3 linked regions of the Lepisosteus oculatus genome follow. The protein of the gene in region 3 interacts with the protein of the main gene of each other region in a pairwise test. Links are inferred from orthologs where the notes say so. Each region holds a gene or a part of one and is shown on either strand. Other genes may lie near its edges.

Evidence for each region. The genes of interacting proteins can lie anywhere in the genome.
Region 1: the proteins of rhoj (region 3) and wasla interact in binary tests that used the Homo sapiens proteins (3 or more experiments, as listed by UniProt). The two-hybrid records come from large-scale screens. The link is inferred for Lepisosteus oculatus from reciprocal best matches to the Homo sapiens genes RHOJ and WASL.
Region 2: the proteins of rhoj (region 3) and pak2b interact in binary tests that used the Homo sapiens proteins (3 or more experiments, as listed by UniProt). The two-hybrid records come from large-scale screens. The link is inferred for Lepisosteus oculatus from reciprocal best matches to the Homo sapiens genes RHOJ and PAK2.

What each region holds. Positions count from the first base shown.
Region 1 is NC_090702.1:38,463,090-38,470,090, reverse strand, and holds the start of wasla (WASP like actin nucleation promoting factor a), read left to right. Parts: upstream 1-3,977; 5' UTR 3,978-4,537; coding exon 4,538-4,648; intron 4,649-7,001. UniProt on the Homo sapiens protein: Regulates actin polymerization by stimulating the actin-nucleating activity of the Arp2/3 complex. Involved in various processes, such as mitosis and cytokinesis, via its role in the regulation of actin polymerization.
Region 2 is NC_090708.1:10,584,879-10,592,663, forward strand, and holds the start of pak2b (serine/threonine-protein kinase PAK 2b), read left to right. Parts: upstream 1-4,761; 5' UTR 4,762-5,028; intron 5,029-7,785. Other genes in the region: pigx (phosphatidylinositol-glycan biosynthesis class X protein), read left to right, coding at 111-177, 969-1,050, 1,247-1,382, 2,062-2,275, 2,941-3,041, 3,466-3,633. UniProt on the Homo sapiens protein: Serine/threonine protein kinase that plays a role in a variety of different signaling pathways including cytoskeleton regulation, cell motility, cell cycle progression, apoptosis or proliferation.
Region 3 is NC_090703.1:7,695,023-7,702,347, reverse strand, and holds the start of rhoj (rho-related GTP-binding protein RhoJ), read right to left. Parts: upstream 3,010-7,325; 5' UTR 3,004-3,009; coding exon 2,829-3,003; intron 1-2,828.

The DNA.
Region 1 (7,001 bases), on a different chromosome or scaffold from region 3:
AAAACACAAATGGCCAAATTTTCAGGCCTAAACCAACACATATGTAGTGATAACTACACACAGCTGTCTGAAATGCAGTCATGGTACACTGATGCAAAATGAAAATGCAACAGTTTAAGTTGAGGCAACAGTGTGGACTAGTGGTGAAGGCTCTGAAACAGTAGGATTATAGATTCAGATCTCATGTCATATTCTGCTGTTGTACCCTTGTGCAATGTATCTCACTAAGATTTCTCCTAAATGCTGTGCTCCAGAAAAGGGTTCCTCCTAGGTCATAAATGGGATGACCTAAATGGGAATTTGCTTTAAATTGACCTATCTGGTAATTTAATAAAGTTTTAAGTAAATAGCTTATAATATTCCATTCCAAATAGTAAACAGTTTTCTTTTGATTGAGTATTACTATTTAATGGAATAATAAAACAGATAAAGTTATTTGATTTCATAAAAAAAAGGTAGGTACTCAGTGTTTGGTTTTTTAGATTATTAAGAATCTATATTATGGTCTATTCAGAAACACAGGCTGCATTTTTAATACTCAGGTTCAGGTTTCCTTTCTTCTTAAAGGGTTCCCCTATATAAATAATCCCAAACCACCTTGTTTTTCCTGTTTTTTTCTGCCTTTTTCCTGATGACAAAGAATCCGTGAGGGAGTGGTTAGAAGCAAATGTCATTTTATACACTCCAGGGAAAAGACATTTCATCATCATATATTGGGGCTTTGGTCTAGTATATCCAGAAAGAAAGAATCTATTTTAATTATAGCTTTAGACCTTACAGCTGGAGGGATTATATTAGTTTTTTTTGGGGGGGTTTACTCTGTACAGCATCAGATCAGTAAAAAACTATTTACAAAGGCCAGTATAATGTCAATAGCACCTAGAATATACAGTATTGAGGAAAAACATTATTTTAATTCTCTGAAATATATTAATAAATTGTCCTTCGTAAAAAGAGCAGACACTGGCTTAAAATAATTTTTTAACAAATTGTCCAAAATATTTTTTTTCTCAATGTATATTTTGCTTATAAAACACAGTTGTTCTTATTGCATTCATTTATTTTTTAGTGCTATGTTTATATTAGACAGATATTCACAATCGTATTATGAAATGTACAACTAACATTTTTTCAGACATAATGAACATAAAGTACTGTTGCATTGTTGAAAAAGTATTTTTTTTTTATTATTATTATTATTAACAATAACAACAACAGGTCCTTACACTTATATAGCGCTCAAAGTGATTTACAAAATGATTTACATGTAATGGGGGCTCCCCTCCACCACCAACAATGCAGCACCAACCTGGATGATGTGACGTCAGTTATAGTGCGCCAGAAGACTAGAAGAGAATAGAATGATAAAGCCAATTGAGAGATGGGGATTATTAGGAGGCCATGAGTGGTAAAGGCCAATGGGAAATTTGGCCAGGACACTGAGATAACACCCCTACCCTTTTAACATTACCAGAAAAGCAGGAATTACAAACATAATCCTAAGTGTGTATTAAACCTCTAGCATTTCTATGATTCAGAAAACTCATTCTCAGTATTGGTAAGGATAACATTGGAAACAGTGGTTTTAAAACTATGTTAAATAATTAATAAGCGCTGAATTCCCTTTGACAGGCAGAAAATGCCCAAATTAATGCAAAATCAAATAGAAACCTGAATGAAACCATTCAAATGGCCAAATACATCACAAGGGATATTAGATTCAAATATAAGTATTTTACCATTTAAGAATATACAGCTGACAAGAATTCAGTTGTAAAGATTAAATTAAGTAAATTCTTATGAAAAAGGCAGTGGAGAGTTATACAGTATATAGACACTAAATCCTCTGAGGCAGGGACAGGCTCCTCTCCAAGCTCCATACAGTAGGAATGGTCTTTCACTGATGCCATTCCTTAGCTCATAAATAGACATAGCCTAGATGATTTTAGCTCATCCAAAAAAATGTTTGCAAACTTGCTTAATTATGTCTGCATGCACAAACATCTCACCTACTCTGGCAAATCTGTAACAAGGATATATCAGTGGATTCTGATGTGCGACAGTAAAACAAGTCAGCTATTTCGGTGGTAAAAGATTAAAAACAAATCCTGTTAAGAATTTATGTACCATATATAAGATAATAATTACATAAAAATAAACACCTGTTGAAGACTTATTCTATTGGTTATGTTGTAATGTATCCATAATTATAAAGATGATTCTAGTTAACAGAGTCAATAGATTTTAGCTGATATTCAGTATTTTAGGGACAAAACGTAAGGATTTAGCAAGAACAATTAATCAATGTTATTAATATGTTCTCTTTATGCCATACAAATTGAGCTTTATCTTACTAAACCTGGTCATCATTCTTCTCAACATTTGTTTTTGTATTTGGGTGACATTATTATTTAAAAAAAACTTGCATTTGTGATTAATGCTCAAGGATGCAACTGCAGTGTTCCATTCAGGGTTAAAACCCTTGACTTTCCAGCTGGAATCCAGAACCCTGACTTTCTTACTGCTGGACACTGCTTCTTATCATTTGTCTTCACACAAAGGCTTCTTTTCTGTCTTCCTACAAAGCTTTGCAGATGATATGTATGTACTGTACACTCTCTTATTGAGAAAGCCATTTTGAACCTTAATGAAATTTGCTTCAATGGAGCTTGGTATCATTAGAAGGTATAAATATGTATAATTAAGTCTGGGTTACAAACCTAGATAATTTGACCTGTTTTTGAACTGGAATTTCAAATTGTAACCTACAGTAGGAGCCTCTCTGTCCCCACCTCTGGATTTTTACAAAATTTTGAAGCTGTATATCATCACCACAGTAATTAAAGACATCTGACAAATTCATCCATTAGTACAAGATGCATACCATTTGTAGAACAATTACAAATTCTGGTAATCTGATCTCTGAATGTTCATGTGACTCAGAAAACAATTTTTTCTTCCCCATTCCCAGAGGATTCATACTGTAGTTTCTGTTGGTTTCTGTTCTTTACCTTTAATGTTTATAATGCAACATGACATTTTATAAAAAAAATATTTCCTAGAACTGTCCTTTAATATTGCTTAAGTGTGAGAAGTCTAGTGACAAACATGACTGATATAATTCTGTTCTAAACTATAAAATGAGTGCTTTATCTGCTTTAAAACTGAATTAAGGCATTTAAATAGAACGATACCTTATTTGGCATCGTGATTAGGTACCCCTGGGGCTAGGTATTCGCTGACAAAGTGGAATAAAAGAATTGAATTGAAGAAATTCAGTATCTAATGTGTAAAATGCATTGACTTTCATAGTTGAATAGTATGGCAGTGCACAGATATCACAAAACGCAAATTTACTTTCCTGGTTTCCCATTTTGCTCTCAACGCACCAATTAATTTGTCCCGTCTCCCTAAACATTCATTAGTTATGCTATTAAGTTAAACGCAAATGGTGGTCTAAACTAGATCCATTGATTTTCAGCGCCCTCAACAGCACAATGTCAGACAATTCAAAAATGATGTCCTTTAATTGCGACTTAAAGACACTCCACCCGACATCACAGAAATTATGATGCAAGTCAATTTGTAGTAAGTTATTTACTAAACTACTAACAACAACAAAAAAACAATTGTTATTATTACAACTGCACTGCTGTTGCTGTTGTTATGAAGCTGATTAAGTTTTGGAAGTATGTTGTGTATTACTGTATATTTTGTAAGCGGCTCTGGGTATGGGCGTCTGCTAGGCAAATGTTATTAAAAACCTAGGTAATGAAGCTGAAAATAACAAAGGATTACAGAGTAGGATTTTCATATTTAACACAATTATAGAAATACAAAAATTGCTCTAAGGCACAAAGTGTTTGACTTATATTACGTCCGGATTTACTGCACCCCTTAGTTTACATTAGCACCAACTTGGCAACACGCTCCTCTTGTCCCCGCCCTGCTAAATGCTCACCCCTCTGCATACTGCATTTGTTACAAAATCCACAGGCCAACAGGGCTAGACCATTCCCTGACACAAGGAAGTGTTTCCGGAGGCGCTGGGCAATTTTACACTCCTGGCTTTCTCTGCTATCAGGGATGAGCGGCGTACCTGCTGCTGCAATCAAGATTGATTTTACCATCCCCGGACAGCTTTAAGAAGGGACGAAGTTGAATCCAGCTCGCTATGTTTTCCCGCATTCCCCCGTTTGGTTAGTGGTTGTTTCTTCCTGCTGCCATGTTGGATAGAGCTGCCGATGCTGCTGTTGGAGTTCGGATGAAAGTTTAGGTTTTTGTCCAACCGAGAGATCCAAGTTTCTGGGGCACTTCGGAAGGCCGAGGGATTGTTTGCATTAAATACCCAAACTACAGAAACAGAACAGTATTTAACCCCCCCACCCCCGTCGCATTCCTCTCGGAGAGAAGCACCTACAGCATCAATGAGAAGATCCGGTGGAAGGCCACGCTGATCAATGACTGAAGACATTTTATAAAATACCTTAATTAGTGTTATATACATATATTCGTCTGGCTTTTTACCCCTGCAATCATGAATAGCCAACATCCCCCTCCGCCGCGGCGTGTCACAAATGTGAGCTCTATGCTTCTCACCCCACAAGAAAACGAATGCCTCTTCAATTGCCTCGGCAGGAAATGCATCGTAAGTTTTAACATTTACTTACTCGATTTTAGTCTCGTCCATACTATTATAACTTGTAGACAAGTATGGGATCTTCTTGTAATTATCTTAAAACAAATTATCGGCCAAGTTTTTCATTAAAAACGGCCTAAACTGCATTGGGTTTTTTTTTTCTAAAGAGAACTAAAGTGAAGCAAAACAACAGTGCCTGGATCCCCTTGGTCTTAGGTTAATGCTTGCGTGTACGGTTGTGGGTTTAAGAGCGTGGATATGGAGCGTGCTGTCCTGGCACTGGCTGTCCGGAGGTCGGTGTGACAAGGCAGGGGAGCCCCGAGGCCGCGTTCGTGTCCGACGGCGTCCGGAGCGCGAGCCGGAACCTCTGCGCTCCGCGGTGCCTGTTTATTTTCCTCATCGAATATGGAGCTGGCAAGTTCGGTCAGCTGGAAAGCACATTCTATGAGGGATTCCATTACATAACACTGTTTTTGCTCCACTCGGATCACTCAGCAGCAGAATAAGATAGTGCCGCTGTACTGTCGCTTGTTCTAATGTTGATTTGTTTTTTTTTTTCATAACATTCTCCGGAAAATGTCATTGCGTTTAAGAAACTGGGAAAGCGAGGGGATGGCAGGGGTTAAAGGGATGCCTAAACTCAGTTGTGTTAATTTTTGAATGTTCAAATATATCAGGAGAATCTCAGGAGAGGTGGGGGTGCCATAAGTTACAGTATGTTCAGTTGAGTCCGAGGGCGCTAATAGTCGACTGAGTAATTTCTGCATTAGTGTTACAGCATGTTCCTGTTGATACAGGGCCTGTATGTTTCCAAAAAGGAGCCTTCAAGGGCGTTATGGATATTTTCGCCTTGTAACGCCCTATACCTGCCTTACTCACCTGCTGCGGGGAGTTAGTGTCGTTGTGAACTAAGACAAGCTTCTTGCAGAGGTAGCCAAGTGAAGTGAACCATTCACTATAACTTTGTAACTTCAACAGGAGGTAATTTGAAAACATTATGTAAAAAAAAAATCTTGCAATCGAATTCATTTTGAACTGGACTGTGTTTCGTTAAACGGCTTTTTGTTTTTCATATGAGGTTGTTTATTAAATCATGATACTTATTAAATCCCTGCCTATAGCAGTTATAATTTAAGAACTTCAGAAGCCTGCGATTAACAGTCCTCATCTCAGCGAAGTATCTATTGTGCTGTCACCTGATCATGCGTCATCAAGATTTCGTCCCTTTCTCATGCAGCAGTTGTTAAAACGCACACGCAGCTTTTTAAAAGATCTTTATTCCTGCATACATATCTATTTAATCACTTCATTGTGGATACCAGAAAGAGACGCGATTCATTAGAATTACTGTAAGGTTTACTATGCGGCATTTTATCACTGTCGCATTAAAGTGGCTTAGTAGCAACAAAGTCTCCTAAATTGTAAAATGTTTTTCTGTTGCTCTGTTCAGCACAAGTGTTGATGTACTTTGTCAAGCATTTATGCATGCTGTGATAAAGTTATTGTAGCTCGTTTATAAACGTACGTAAACATGAATAGTTATCTGGAGCGATGTTAAATTGTGACAGTTTTTAAATTAGTGAAAAGGGGTTCTCCCAGGTTAATAGCAGTTACCTACACATTTATGATACCCGGTCAAAAGAAAAAAAAAACACGTGAAAAATGTTGCACAAGTCTTTAGATTTACTGTGCTTACCATTTTTTATGACTATCTAACAAATTAAGTTATTTAATGGATGTGCTTTTTAATCTGAAATACATCTCCTCTCCATCAGTGTAAAACACTATACCTATACCTAGAGATTTGAGAGTATGCAGATTGCAAAGCAGAAACTTTTGGTTAATTGTACACTGAAAAGTAGAAACGAAACCCATGTCAGCTGTTGAAGTTTTGAGCCTTGCACCTGAAGAATGCTGAACAGCTAATATTAATTTATACTTGTTCCATTATTTATATATTGTCTTTTTTTCTGTATTATCATATTTGAGATTTCCCCAAAATTTGTGAAGGCTTAGTGTTTGTAAAAACCTAATTTCTGCCTTCACTGTCTACAAATGTCTTTATAGAAACATGTTTTGTAATATTTTATTGAGATGCACAGACCCTAAATACACTGACATTTAGGGAATAAAAGTATTAGTTTCTGAAGGCATATGAAAACTAGTTTGAAAATGAAAACTGAACTGCTGCACATGAATCAATTCATATAATGACCCATATCATATATGAAATTAATCATCTTGTAAGGTTTTCTGTAGGGAAGGATCAATAATGTTGTAATAAGTCATATTTCGTAAGTGGTATTTTTACTCGCTGTCCATGACTTCATATTCACTCAGCAATGAAAAACCTTTTGACTTT
Region 2 (7,785 bases), on a different chromosome or scaffold from region 3:
TTGTCAAGTTTGATGCCATTCTTTTCCGGGATGACAGTGTTTAATAGACCATTTTTTGTGTTTTCCCTTACTTGTCGTTTATCGTTTATTTTCGTGAATATGTATACGCCATGAGAATAGTTTATTTAATTGCATTTATTTTAGCTCCAGCGCTCCTTAAAGCAGATTTACAGTCAGGTAAATTCACTTTTTTTTGGCAACAAGATAATCAGACTCGGTAGTCAGAAAAAGAGCGAGGTCATGGAGAGACGATGAAATATAATATTCAGTATAAATATCGGGAAATTCTGCTACTAATAAACACGATCATGGTACTTAGTCTATACATAACATTTAACATTTTAGCAACGACCAATTATTCAAATGAATCCTAATGTTTTTTGTACCTTGTAAAGAGAACCCGCATGTGTATGATTTTTAACAGAAGTTCATTGAAGGCTCTTTAAAAACACGACAGATCGCAGTTCCAATTGACGTGTTTCAAGACGCTAACGTTGTATTTGAAATCGAGAAGTGAATTCTTTTGTTCCTGAGACGCTGAGTCTGAGTTAATTATACCGTCTGATCTGGATTAATTCTGCCCCAAGAATATAGTCTACGTGTTACTCAAATTGTAGTTATAAATCGATTGAATGTTCTCGCTTTTTTTCCCCAATTTTAGTTACATTTCTGGTATTATTAAAAATCCAGTAGATTGAACAGCCAAGTGAACTGATTTCACAGGACATGAATTTGACAGCATTTGTTTTCACATTTGCAGTGAATGCATTGACAGTATTTAAGTTTATTTGTATTTACCTACTGGGAAGCAGTTTTAAATATTATATTCAAAGTGATACACCTTGATACACAGATAAGCTCATACACTTTGATCACCTGCTTCTTAGCATAAAAGATTGTAAACAGAAATTAATTTGAACTTTTTAACATGGGGTTTTGGGGTATGTAACTGGATGTCTGTTTTGCAGGAGAAGAAAGATGTGGCTTCACAAGGGAATGGCTGGAATCACTCACAGTGTCAAGGGAACTCAGGAAAAATGGTTTTCACAGGTGATTGCTTATTGTGGAAATACATCTTTCAGTTGCCTATAAACACAACAACACAGTGCTGTATTGTGAGCCACCTGTATTGTGAGCAGGGAAGTGAGATTTAGTCATGCTGTTTCATTAATGTGCCGTGGGCATTATGGCTCAGTTTCAGTAAGCAATATGTGTGAAATATTGAAGTCTGTGGCTCTATATTTAGGGAGCTTGTGACCAGTGTATGCTGTGGCCTGGGGTCTCCCAAAAACCTGCATTTCCTGCTGGTGGAGAGGCTTCCCAAAGGAATCTACATTGACCCTTACCAGCTAACATCAGAACAACACGACACTGGCTTACAGGTAACAGGCACTACAGGAGTAGTGAGAGTAGGATCACACCATGGTAACCACAACTTGCTGCACCAAATACGGAGTATAGAGGATTTTCTTTCTCCTGGTACTAGTCTGAAGTTTCATCTTCTTTCCCCTCCATTTCAACATTACAAGGAAGCTATTGCTTGAATTTTTTAGTCTTTTTGAAACAAAAGAAAAAAAAAACGTAATCTGTGAAGCCTCTTTTTAGGGTGGGGGAGAGGTAGAGCCAAGTCTAAAGAAACCTCCACAGCCAAAATCTTTTCCTGTTTTGTTTTACTTTTCAGAGTGGAATTAACCTCTGCTTGTAACTTTTTTTGCTGTGCCTGTCACGGTCTGAGTTTTACACCAGCAGTTCTTTTGGGCACATGCATTCATTTCATTTTAAGGACAGTAGTTTCTTGCATAAGGTAGGTGAGCTCATGTCAGGTGATTTCATAAAAATGCCTTGGGGGTTAGTGCTAGTTAATTGAGCGATTTAAAAATGCCAAATGATTAAGACTCTCTTTAAAAACAACAAAAAACATGACCATGCATAACTATTTTAGTACATTTATGTCACATTAAATATCGGAGATCTTTTAGAAGCCCCACATTTTTTTTAAAGAGATCAGGTGGCAAATTTTACAGTTCTTTTGGACTGACAGGGTTCCATCTCCTTGTGCAGGTGCTTCTGGACACAGAAATTGATGTGGAAGCCCCGGCGTATGTTTCTTCTGCGTTTCCTGCCCTAGTTTATCCCACACGGGACCCTGCATCTCCTGTGTGCTTGAAGGCAGTTGTGCCAATCCATGGGCGCTATCATCGTCCTTCAGATTCCGGGAAGAGAACTGCCCCGATTGACATCGAGAACCCCCACCTGCTGCTCCGAGCAGACTCCTGTGAGTCCTCGGGTCTGTGTGTCTGGCAGCACTTTCTTCTTGATATAGTGACCTATGTGTGTCAGTTTGCAAAGCAGTTTTTTTTGCCTTTATGATGTTTCACCAGGGGCAGACTAATAACATGTCTGTCTCTGATGTTAAAAGCTTTCAAAGCAGGAACAGAAGCCTTCTTGAGTAATTTCAAATAAATGCATGATCCGTTATCACCTTCAGAAAAATATGAATCGGTCACTCCAATCAAATTACAGAAAATTGAAGACTACAGAAAAGGCTCAGCTGTGGAGCCGTACTCACTAATAAACATGCTTTTGGGGTAATTGTCTTATTTCCTGTTTGCCTTGTCATCTGATGATGAAAACACATCTACACATACAACACAAGTGCTTTTCCTCAACAATATAAAATACAAATCAATGCTTTCACTCATTATATAATTGCATTTCTGTTTTGTGCTTTGTTGGGTTGTTCTTAAAACTTACTAGTAAGTAATAAGTGGGAATTAATACCTTACTTTGCATTTTGGAATAAGTTTTTAAATTTAAAGATTGTACAACATCCTGTACCTGAAAGCACATTACTCCTTGTGCTGTTTACTGTTTTGTAGTATTTTCAAAGTACAGAAAAACACGTGCCTCTTAAAGCAGACCCTTTGTGCTTTTTTGCAGGTGATCTGCCTCCGAACTTCATCCCTTATACACTGACGGACGCCCCCTGTACAGCTCTTAATCACAGCATGTGCAGATGGCTGCAGATACATTCTGCACAGGTACACTGTCGCCAGTCTGTCACTGTGGTCCTACTGCTGGGGCTAAGAAATGACTATGCATGTTTATCCTCTCTTACTGGGTGTGCTCCTAAGATATTTTTAAGTTTTAAGCATGGGATATGTTGCTGGCTGCAAAATAGGAAGGTCTCAGAAAATAGTTACTGTCTCGGGTGCTTTGGTCATGGTACTGTCCTGCCGTCTTGATAATTTGGGTGTAACATTGGCATCTGTTTGATGAGCTTCAAACCGCTCATATGGAGACTTTGACCAGGGGAGGCCATAATGACTTGGGTTCAGTTACCAAGAACTCTACCAATAACGATTTCCTTAAAAAAAACAAAAAACTGTTGATGTCTCACTAAGAAATCAGGTCTGTGCGGAAACTGAAATAAATTTCGCTGCCCAATCTTCTCACTCTCTTCAGGAGCCTGGGCCGCTGCGCCTGGAGATCCCCGTGGGGGACATGCGACTGGTTGGATTGGTTTCCGCTGCCACCCTGCTCGTGACCCTGCTGAGCTGTGGCTACCTTGCAGGGGCCGTGTGGAGAAATGAATTCCTCCAGTCTCGTCCCCCTGTCAGCCAGGGGACCTGACGCCCGGTCCTCAAAGGGACTTTCCAAAGTGTTTGTGATTGCCTGGACAAAGGATTTTAAACATTAGATCTGATGTATAATAATTTATTCTAAAAGCTTCATATTTATATTTGTAGATTCTCTGTTTAAACTTAAATGATGACAGATATGCAAAACTACTACCACTACTAAGAATAATCAGCCACTACATCTGGTGTGAATTTGTCTTTTGGGCGTGTACACCGCATGTTAGCATTGCATTGGGTGGACATATCTCTTTAAGTGTGGGAGTTTTGTATTTGTCAGAAAAGTAAATAAAAACTCGAAAATGGTGTCAAGCTTTGTTGCTCTTTATACATTAAACTATCTGTTTGCTCACAGCTGAAGAAGGCCTCAAAGCTGAAGCAGTTTTTTCCCTGTCTTTCATTAATACTCTGTAACATTTGTTGGGAAAATTGTTTTGCACCCTTGCAACTATGTTTCACATTCAAACTTACAAAAACAAAAAGTAAAAATATGCATTATACTAAAAATGTAACATTAATGTATAAAATCCACATCATATTCACCTTAAGTGGATTTAATGGTCATAGGGGAATTATGACTTGGAACAAAAAATCATGTTTATTTGACTAGTGTTGTGCTATCAGTAATGATCATGTGCAGGTCCAGGCCTAGTATTAATTCGTTTCTACGTTACTGTTGTTTTTTGTAGAGCAGTTTGGAATGCTTTTGGTGGCACTTTTAACATATTGGAGCTGGTATATAAAGTTTGCTTCGATTTAATTGTGAAATTACTTCATTCTAAAACCATGCCCTGCACTTGTTGTACCACTCTGAAAGAACTACAATTCCCTTTCATACATCCTACACTACTCCTTTCTGTGTATTCCTGGGAAAAGCAGTCCCGACTCCTTCACCGCCCTATTTCCAGAAAACGCTACGAGAGGAAGAGAGAACTACATCTCCCATAGTGCTCTTCGTGCGAAGCGCTGCAGGGACCCGCTGTCTTTGTTTTCTGAACATTAGTTTTTTTTTTACAAACGTGTGGGTTTGTTTCAGTGAGCAGGCAACACACGTTAAAACGTTAAAAATTCCTCCTGAAGAAAAAAACACAGATTGCAATTAGATTGTAATTTCTAATGTCATCCGACACTGGGTTGGGTCGGTAGTTCCGCTTCCCCTCCGCCATTGCGGGTTTGTCCCGGTCTAAGAAGATAAAAGAATATAAAAGGAACGCAAGAAAAAGAAAGAAATTGCTTGGATATTGTATTGGCAGAATTTGGGAAGGGGAGTGCACTCAAATAGTGGTATTTTAAAAAAACGATATCTGAACTCTTGATTATCGGTTCTCGTAGGAGGCGGAGCTAGCATCTAAAGAGTTTTGTGGAAGTTTGGAGCTGAGAGTTTCGCCTGGTGAGTCCTGAAGTTAATTATTTAACTTGCTTTGGTGTTCGTATATTTTATAAATTGGATTGTGTAAGTTTCGAAAATACTATGTTTGCCGAGAAACTGCATGAATGTGATATTTGGCAGGACACCGGTAGCTTCTTTATGTCGGAAACGTGATATAAAAAGTTTTACAGAAGAGTTGAAATCGGTGAAAAGTCTCGTATTTCATTACGTATTTTATTGTTGCAAGTAGTCTTTGAATTTATTTAACAGACGACAAATGTCACTGGCATTTATTTTAGCAGAAAAAATCGGTTATAGTTTATTTTGTCTAAAAAGAACAATACAGGTGTATGCTCTCTCAATGTGAATTTGCACAAACAGGATTTAAAATAATCTAAAAACACTTTTTAGTGGAGATATTTGGCATTTTTCCTTCCACTCTTGTTTATGTATCACCATTGGAAATTTTTATTATAACAGCACTCAAGATACGACTGATTTCAGTTAATGTAATATTGAATGTGACAATGAATGTTATCCGTTTTTCCATTGCACTTAACACCGAATTGCAGTTCTTTGATTTTACTTTATTAATCATATTTTCAACTTAATTTTGTGAACTATAATACGGGATGGTGGAAATACACGAGAATATTGACTGGTACAATAAGTCATTCCCCAGTCCCTCTTTTTAATACAGGAAAATCGTAAATAATGGAGGAGAGCTCAGAAGACCACTATTTCATATACATTTTAATCCATCTCTGGTGTTCAAGGTGCAAGCTCTAATGAGAGTTAAGTATTTATGGCCCAAATTGTATATGTTCAGCCACGAGAGGTAATGTGTTTTTTTTTCTAAGAAAAGAAAACATTCTTGGTGACCCATGTGAGAAGACAGCTTGCAAACCCCAAAACTGATCAAAGACTGTTTAATCTGAGTTTTATCAGCTGTTCAGTGCAGTTTAACAAAAGGAGCAAGTCATAGGTTTATTCCATGCTGAAAAGAGAAGAAAGAAAACACAACGTTTCGGCTGTGAAGCCTTCTTCAGGTGTGAGAAATACAGCCGAAATGTTGCAGAAACGTTGTTTTCTTTCTTCTCTTTTCAGCTTGGAATAAACCTATTACTTGTTCCTTTGCAGCCTACGCATGCTGACGCAGCTCCCCACCTGAACTAGTTTAACAAAAGGTTTGTTTTGCGTGTTTCTGATGTTTTGCTGGAGATTTAGTTAAGAAGATTGGCAGATAGTGCTTTCTTGACACTGCAGCACTGCATTCGAATACCTCATTATGAAAGTCATGTGTTTAGCCACTAGCACAGCACAAAACCTTTCATTAGTTACATTTTGAATAAACAGTTTTAAGTTTTATGTCCATATTTGATGTCCTGCACACCTGGCCAAATGTTTTTTACACAGAGTATGCAGAGTTCCTAGAAGAAAAGTCATGGTTGCTTTTAAAAGTTATAGGATTATTGGCCATTTTCTTTACAGCTGAAGCAGGTTATAGGTATGATGTAGTCTTGCCTGTCCTGTGTTAATATTCCCACACACGGTGTGATGTAATGTTTGTATATATGGTTTGAAATTAAGCCCACTTGAAAATACTATCCTTGTTCAGAAGAAGGGCCCAATTTCTCAGTGAGTGGAGTAACCAGAGCTCTAAGAAAAGAGAACTTGCCAGTTAAAACCACACTGGCTATATTGCATTACTTTTCGTTTTTCAGTTTTTTCACTTGAACTTGAATGTCTGTAGCATAACAGTATAGTACATTTCTATGTTATAGGGAACCTGCTTTCTTTTGGATAGGTAGTGTTAAACGAATAACCTCTTCTGTTCAGCCAGCCCATTGTAACCTTGGTGAAAACAAAAAGCAATGTACTTTTTTTTTATCATGGCAGTGTCTGTTTTCTTTTCATTATTTTATTGAAAAAAGGGAGTTCCTGGAGTTTGTCGCCACACAGAGCCGAGGTAAAACGTTGGGCATGGATTGCAAAAAATGTGATTTTTTTTTTTTCCTTGTAGATGTTTTTTAGAGGAATTGGAGGAAATTACGTGAGGGGTTGGTGGCGGTGTATCCCGGGTGTGAAGCAATGCAGAAAGCTGATGGACAGCAGATAGGCTGGTACACACACTCCATCAGTGAGAACTGCCCAGGGAGCCTCTGGGTCGAGTAGTAGTGTCATGTGTCTGCCGAGAGAGAGACCGCACTGTTTTCACCAGGCACCAAGGGGAAATGGGACTCGCAGACAGAAAGGAAGGGGGCAGGTTACCTCACACCAGGAAGCACCGTTCAGAATTTCCTTTTATAGACTGCTGCAAATACAAAGGCTCAAAGTCCCCTTTTCCTGTAAACAGTCACTCTAGTGCAGGCTTTGTGGCAGGCACACGGGGGGAGACGGTCCTCCTGGAAATGAAAGCTGGCCTCATCGGCTTGTAGAACATATCGCCAGGCTCCATAGCCAGCCAGCAGCTGGCTTTCAAAACTTGGCAGATGACAGCAGCTGATGCTAGGTGCTATACAACACGGTAGTGCTCTCCAGCTAGTGCCCCTGGGTTCACAGTTCAGACATTATTACAGCCATTCTGCTCTCTGTTTGAATTGTAGTAGAGCACCTGTTGTGCTTTAATGGAACTTCTCTTTCATTCGTTGGGGGAGGTTTAATAAGGCTTTAGAGCCCAGGACAGACAATGTCAGTTTTTGTTAGTATGGTGCCACTTACAGTAAATTAGAGGGTCCCATGGTGCCCCAACAACCACTAGCATCAGTTTAATTTAAA
Region 3 (7,325 bases):
ACATAGTGAGCATGGAGGCTGTCAGACCTCTCTTCCACTGTTGCACAGAATTACAAGGTCTCTCCAGGGCATGCTGCTGTGTAGGATATCTCCCAGACTCTGATGCATGCACAGTCACCATCCTCACAGAAAAGTTCATTTTAATGGTATTTCCTATGTGGGCTTCCATTCTGCATCACCAAGTTAATTGATAAACCTGTACACGGTCTGTCAGCCTCAGGTTTAGAACAACTTTCTAAAATCTCCTAGCATTCCTTGAAGTTAAAGCATTGTTTCCTTTCTTTCCATTTAGTCAAACTATAGTTGCCCTCTCCTTTCTTAGCTGATGTGTTATTTATTCAGCATGATTTGGTGGTTTCTTGAATTGTTAACAATTGTGATTTTAATTAAACGCAGTTTTGTATATTGAGTGACAACACAGTTCCCCATTGAAATGTGTTGACAGAAAAGCTACAGATTACTGCACACTGTCATCACTGAACAGCACAATTCTAATGTTTATTAGACAACACAACAAGATCTAAAAAGCAAAGGGGCTTATTACATTAGCTTTGTTTTTTTTTATGAATCTTCTGTAGTTGGAACTTAGTTTGGAAAACTGCAGGGCCTTTAAAATCAACTACATGCAATTGTTTTTCAGATACAACAATGTGACCATTCTAAACCAAACCCCTTTTTCTTTAAAAAGTGTAAATTCTGCCATTAAATAGCATTGTATAAATGTAGGGTAGATACAGAAAACATTATTCTGTCCCGTCCCCCCTAAAAGAATCTGATTTTTAAAAACATTATCAAGCCTTACCCCATCTCTGAAACATTTCATCTAATTTAAATATGAACAATTTCCGTCAAGACCAGCAAAATGTTTTTAGTGCTTTTCTTTTTCAAGATTATAACCTTAATCTTATCTAGAACGTTGATCATGTTACTTATGGAATAAAAACAGCATTAGCAGCTTAGCCACTGTGTTTTTCTGCTTTTGAGAGACTTTAAGTTTCATAACTGTAGAAGAACTTCAATATTGGAACATAATCTTCAAGCAGCTCATTAAGGTTGCAAAGAGTTAATATTTTAAATGTATTTGAATGTTTGTACTAGTTATCGAAGCCTCTACTTTGAAATGTCCGATGGATTTCCGAAAATACATACACCCCCCTTTTGGGCCAGTGGACAATTGGCATAAAGTTCATATGAGTGGAAAAAAATGTGAATCTTTAATCCTGTGATTTAAATCCTGCTTTTCTCATATTCCCACTGGATCTGACATGTGTTCAAAAATGATGTCAGTCCTTCCAGGAATGAAGTGATACAAGAACTACGGTCATATTACCATATCCTCCCATCTTTCAGGAAGCAGTCCGAGACTCTATGACTGTGTATTCAAGTATGTCTGTCTCACCAGCTGCCTATCAGTTTGACTGACACCCAAAGAGCAGTGGAGCCCTGCACCCAGGCTAATTCTCTCACCCATCCTGGCACCTGTACAATACGACCAGGGCAAAAAAATACTGAGACGGTTCCAGACCAGAGCCAGTGTCCTGTCTGCCACAGAAACTTAAGTCTAATTTAATTCCCTATTTCTCTATTATTTCCTCTACTTTTTGTAGAGGCAGCTACTGATGTCAAGATTCTCAAGAGGAACAGTGAATCCAGATAGTAACAATATAGTGATAATTGTATACACGCACTTTGCCACTCTATAGAATAATTCCCTAGAAATAAGCTCCAGAAAAACCTGTACCATAGTAGCAGTTTGCAAAACAATTACCATTTTTGGATCTGTTTCTTCATAAGCTTTTTGACCTGCCTGTTGTATTAAATGCATGTTCTAAGATTTGTACTCTTAGCGTTTTCAACAGGTTTTGAAAAACACATAATTACATCAAGCCCCTGGGGTCAGACTGTGTTTAGGTGGCTGGCTTTTGTCTGCACGCTCGTTTAAGCTGTGAAAATAACCACAGCTTGTTGCTCTTGGAAAAAAAAATCAAGGCCAGTGCAATTCAAAATATTTTCACAACAGGCTCCACAATTAGCATTATGGGATGCATTTGAGCGGTTTTGTTAATATCGACCCGTCTTCAAGCAAGTTATAATTAGTGGGACCCACTAATGGCACGGTTTGTTTTCGTTTGCTCTTCGGTCAAGAGGAAAGGCGCTTTTCTCCTTGTTACCTAACATTACGCAATGATGACAGCTGGTATTTCGTGTCAGAGACAGATAGCGGTACCCACGTCTGTCCGGGGAGCAAGTATTCCACAACCCGAGCCTTGCTGACACGGAGGAAATAAGATACTGTAGCACTATTGTGTGCAATCGCAATGATCTAATTATACTCCACAATTCACCTTTTCACTTGGACTCACCACTCCGCACCGCCAAACAATTACAGTAAGCCGAAAGGGTCGAAATCACGTTTTTAGGACTCGAACCCACAAATCGACCCCAATAAGTATTTTTACCCTTCCCCACTTTTGAGTGCGCCAAGAAAAGTCAGTTGGTCTAAAGCACAGAAAAGTGCATAAACTTTTTCTGTGTTTTGTTATAACCCAGCGCCCCCATGGATTCTCTTTTTTTTTTAAATATAAAACCACGTGTCAAGTTTCGCCTTTGAATTTTTAAAAGCCCTTCTCTAGCAGGCAGCCGTCTGCCGCCACCAGCCCCAGGCCCGGGTAACGTCCTCGGGCTAGCAGTTACGCTCGTCTCCCCCGTCCTCGCCCTCCGTCGCCGAGCCCGGCCCGTCCCTGAAGACCCCCTGGCCTCACGGAGATCGGAGGGGGGGGCGGGCTGTGTCCAGGCAACCGCGCACGGTCGGCGGCACTGTACTCTACCTGCATAGTGGTCAAACACCGTGGGCACGTACTCCTCCGGGAAGGCGTCGTTGGCATAGCTCATCAGCAGACAGGTCTTCCCCACTGCCCCGTCGCCCACCACGACACACTTCAGCATCTTTTTCACATTATTCCGAAAGCTACCGCCGCTGCCATCTTCCTCCCTAATTTCCATCCTGCTTCGCCCGCTACCAGCATGGACAGAAAAAGTCGCCCGAACTTCTTCTCTCTATATTTATATTTTGTATTTCTTACTGCGGGTATATTTCGCAGCGCATCGCGTTTTCCCGGGAGAGGGGGGTGGTGGTAGAAGATTTACTTCTGCCCCTTGCGTTACAGAAAGACCGGTAAGAGATCGAGAAGTTTTGGTTTGTTTTTTTTTTTGTTTGTTTTCGCTTTCCTCGCTTCTTCCCGTTGAGTCGAGGATCAGAAAATCTGCAAGTCTGCTAGCCCCGGCTTCGGCGCTGGTAGGACTGGTCGCTGCGAGGGCTCAGCGCCGGGGAAGAAAACTTCACGAAGGTTGTCACGGTTAGGCTCGGGAAAGCGTCGCATCCCGTTTAAAATCCTCGGCGGGTCTCCCGGAATGAGAAGAACGGCTTGGTGGGCGATCGCTTCTTTGTTATTTTGCCGGCTGTATCTTTTTATTTTTTCCTCCTTTCCCCCCCCAGTTCCCTGAGATTGGTTTCTGACCCCCCGATCGCTCTCCGCTGCTTCGCTACAGTGTCAGGAAATCATGGGTTTCCTAGCGAATTCCATATTAGGCAGAGTGGGCTGGGAACAATGGTAGGTCTGTGCCTTATGTCCAACACAGGAACTGCACCCGAGCTGGGGGAGGAAAATCCCAGGACACCGGCGCTGCTTCCTTTTACCTTCGGTTTACCCTCCAAATGGGACGAAACCGCGCTGGGGACGGGTAACGGGCTGTTATTAAGGATGGGGATTCAGAACGCCTGCCGAGAATCCCGTTTTGCGGGGAATCGACTGGATCCGTCCCGGCTCAGAGATCTAGCGCCCGGGCGTCTTTATTTTTCTCCAGATGTTTGCGGAGCCGTTAGTTTGAAACTTGAACCGCTTCCTCGGTGCATGGTGGTTTCAGCCGGTGGGTTTTTAATAGCACCGCACGGAAAACTGAGGTCTGCGCGCCCGCCTCTGAAATGACTGCATTTTTTTTTTTACCAGCGTGAGAAGCCTTTCACGGAGCGTTCAACTGAAAGAAAAAAAAATCTGCTGCTGTTTTTGGGTGAGGTAAAAAAAAGACTTCACCTTTTCGTTCAAATAGGTTTTTCAAACATGTTTCGCACTTTTATCACATCATTTACTTACTACCTACAGCTACGAATAGCACAGCAGGTTCAGTTCAACACTAAGAAAACGGACCGTTTATAAAATAAAATAATGTACGGAACTGGGGGGGAATCAGACTGCAATTCACCTTGTCCTGACACTATAGTTTCATGAGCACGGTGCACCAAAGAAATTTCAATGTGCACTAAAAACAAAACAGTCTCAAAAATAGTTTTGTACATGCAGCTGTAGTTCCGCTGATTTGGAGGGTGTGTGGAGAGCTGTCTTTAATATCAGCTGGTTTATCAGCGTAACGGGGCAGCTGCTGGAAGTCATAAGCAGTACTGTAGTTTGGACATCTTACAGCGCGTTTTTTTTAGCTTGTAAACCAGCAAAAGTCCGTTTAGTGATATTATACAGCGGAATCATTCTTGTCGTCGAACAGACTTTACAGCAAATTGTGCAAAGATTAACACGTGGAGAAAAATAAGAGCAGACCCACCCACACACAGGAAATCTGTTAATATAATGCAAATATTTGATTTCGTACTTTATAGCTTATGTAGATACATTCCAGGTTATGTATAATATTTATGAAGTAATGAAAGTACAATTTAAGTAAAAACAGAACAAAAAAGTAACATAAACTTTCAGATCACCTTCCTCTAAACCTCCCAGCGAACAACACGAGCCAGTATTTACCAGCGATTATTTCGACCCACTAATGTTATTTGCTGAGGTTATCAGAAAACAATAGGGTAGATAAGATAATTACTGCATAGCTGTTTAATTCACACCTGCCACTGACAAAGCCTAATTAGTCACAGCTGCTCTTAATTAAGCACTGTTAACCAATTGATCTCTTAATGCAAATCCAGTCCTTTCGGGACTGCGAAATATAGCGACTTGAATGTGGAATTGTGAAGAGTTTCGTGCATCTACCTCTGGGGTCCTATAGGACCATTCGACAGATGTCTAAATCACTACTTGTTGAATTTCGGGGGGGGGGCAGTCTTGATCACTTCATCCCAAGAATGGTAAAAAAAAAATCCCAGTATTGTGTACCTTTCCTCACTGTAAATATCTGCACTACACAAACACATATGCCAACCTATCAAGTTTCATTTTTTTTGTTTTTTTTTAAATAGTAACATTTGAATGAATCGCGCACTTGTACTGAGTTGTTATTTGATTAATACGCAACACTCCACCCACCCCTTTCCCAACCCTTATATCCAGTACAGCAGGGCTTCCCAGTCCTGGTCGTGCAGACCCACACACACCTGTTGGTTCTTGTTCCAGGCGAGCCCTCAGATACACAATCTGACCCCTCATTTGACTCAATAACAACTAGGGACTGGAAACAAAATGCAGATATTCAATTGGAGCAACTTCTCAGATCCACCAAGGCATCGGTTACCTAGTGACGGTGGGATAGGATGAAACAGAGCAGGCACGTGGTCACGGTGGGCACCCGAGCCTGTCCCGGCAAGCAGGGCGCACGAGGAGGGATACATCCAGGACGGGACGCGAGTCCATCGGGGGGGCCAACACGGACAAACAGTCACAGTAGGGCTAATTGTCCCACGGCAAAAAACCCATGTCAATATGGGAGAACATGCGAACTCCACACGGACAGCATCCCAAGCATTGAACCCAGCGCTGTGAATCAGCAATGCTAACTCCCGTGCCACTGTCCCTACAGCACTCTTACACTAATACACGTATGATCCAATTCAAGGGTTACTACATGTTTGTAATGCTCTCTACCATTTTCTCCCTCGAAAAACAGATTATCCTTTCCGACAACAACATCAAAGAGGCTAAGGAATTTCTACGGCTGACAGCTCCACACCATCTTCCCTTCATAACTAACCTCATTAGATCTCTCAACTCTAAACTCTACCAGTTTCGCACTACAGAGAAGGACAAAAAACTCAGCAGCTCACACCTGAAGAAGGCTCCACGGCCGAAACGTTGTGTTCTCTTTCTTCTTTTTTTCAGCATGGAATAAACCTATTACTTGTTCCTTTGTAACGCTTACCCCTTACAGTATTGAACAACATCTGATCTTAGGGTTGACTCCAGACTCCTGACTGAACCAAGAACCCGATTGGCTCTTACTCATATGATAACACGCTGAGAGCCGCAACTGAGGGTGGTGGTTTGTTTTTTTTGTGTGCAAACTGATTGATTTCACGTGACTGCCCACAGGTGGAATTCTGAGAGAAAGAAGCCCTTCCCAAAAATCCCATGTCCTCCTCACGCGTGTAAGCTTACGTTTAGGCTACCACTCCTGGTATTTACAATTTCGGTAAGCCTGTTCTTTCACAGACAAGCACGGAAAAAAAGTCCGTCAAGTGAGTAATCAAGCGAGGGACGGAGGTCTGAGTAAGTCAGAAGTCCGCGTGTTCGCCACACTTACCAATGTGCTTGATCGGACATAGCAACGATTTTCCAGAAGTGATGGAGCTGATGTTCCAGATATAAATAAATCCCAGAGAGGCGAGACCGGTGCGAAGACCCAGTCAGTCAGGGAGACTGGCGGAGCTGCTCCCGGCTCCTATGAGACACACACCGTTATACCAGACGTCATTTTAATTTCACATACCTCTGTTTTCCCACGATCAGGTTCCCTAGAGAATTCTTAATTTTGATGTCCAATTTTTTTTTATCGTCAGATTTCAGAAGTGTCGACAGCCTGGTTTTACTGTTTGCTTTAGATGTTGAAGTAATTAAGAAGGAAATCAAGCGTTGCAGGAGATTAACAGCCTCGATCCTAAGTGTTCATAAATTAGGACCGGCTCCTCCTGTCTGTAACCCCCACAGGTCCGTTGTTGCCATAGACCTCTCCCTAATTGCAGTTCCAGTCTTAATCAGCGCTTCTCATGGGGAAACACACCTACCCATGTTACGGTCGGGTACCAACAAAAAAAAGGAAACGCATCTACACGTGTGTATTTCAGAAACCTTTGAACAACGGTGGAGCACTGTTGGTCTTTTCTTCCATTTTTCTCTGCCTCGCCTGAAAGCGACAATCCCCCGCCCCCCATAATATCAAGGCGCTAGCTGCGCACCCCTATCTCCATGGCACCTCTACCGCCGCCGGAGAATCCGGCGCCTCCAGGCTGGAGCGCTCGAGTGGGAGTGCGCAGGCGCGCCCAGCCGGGGAGCCCGCAGTTTACAGAGCAGCGAGCGCCAGTGGCACTGTCA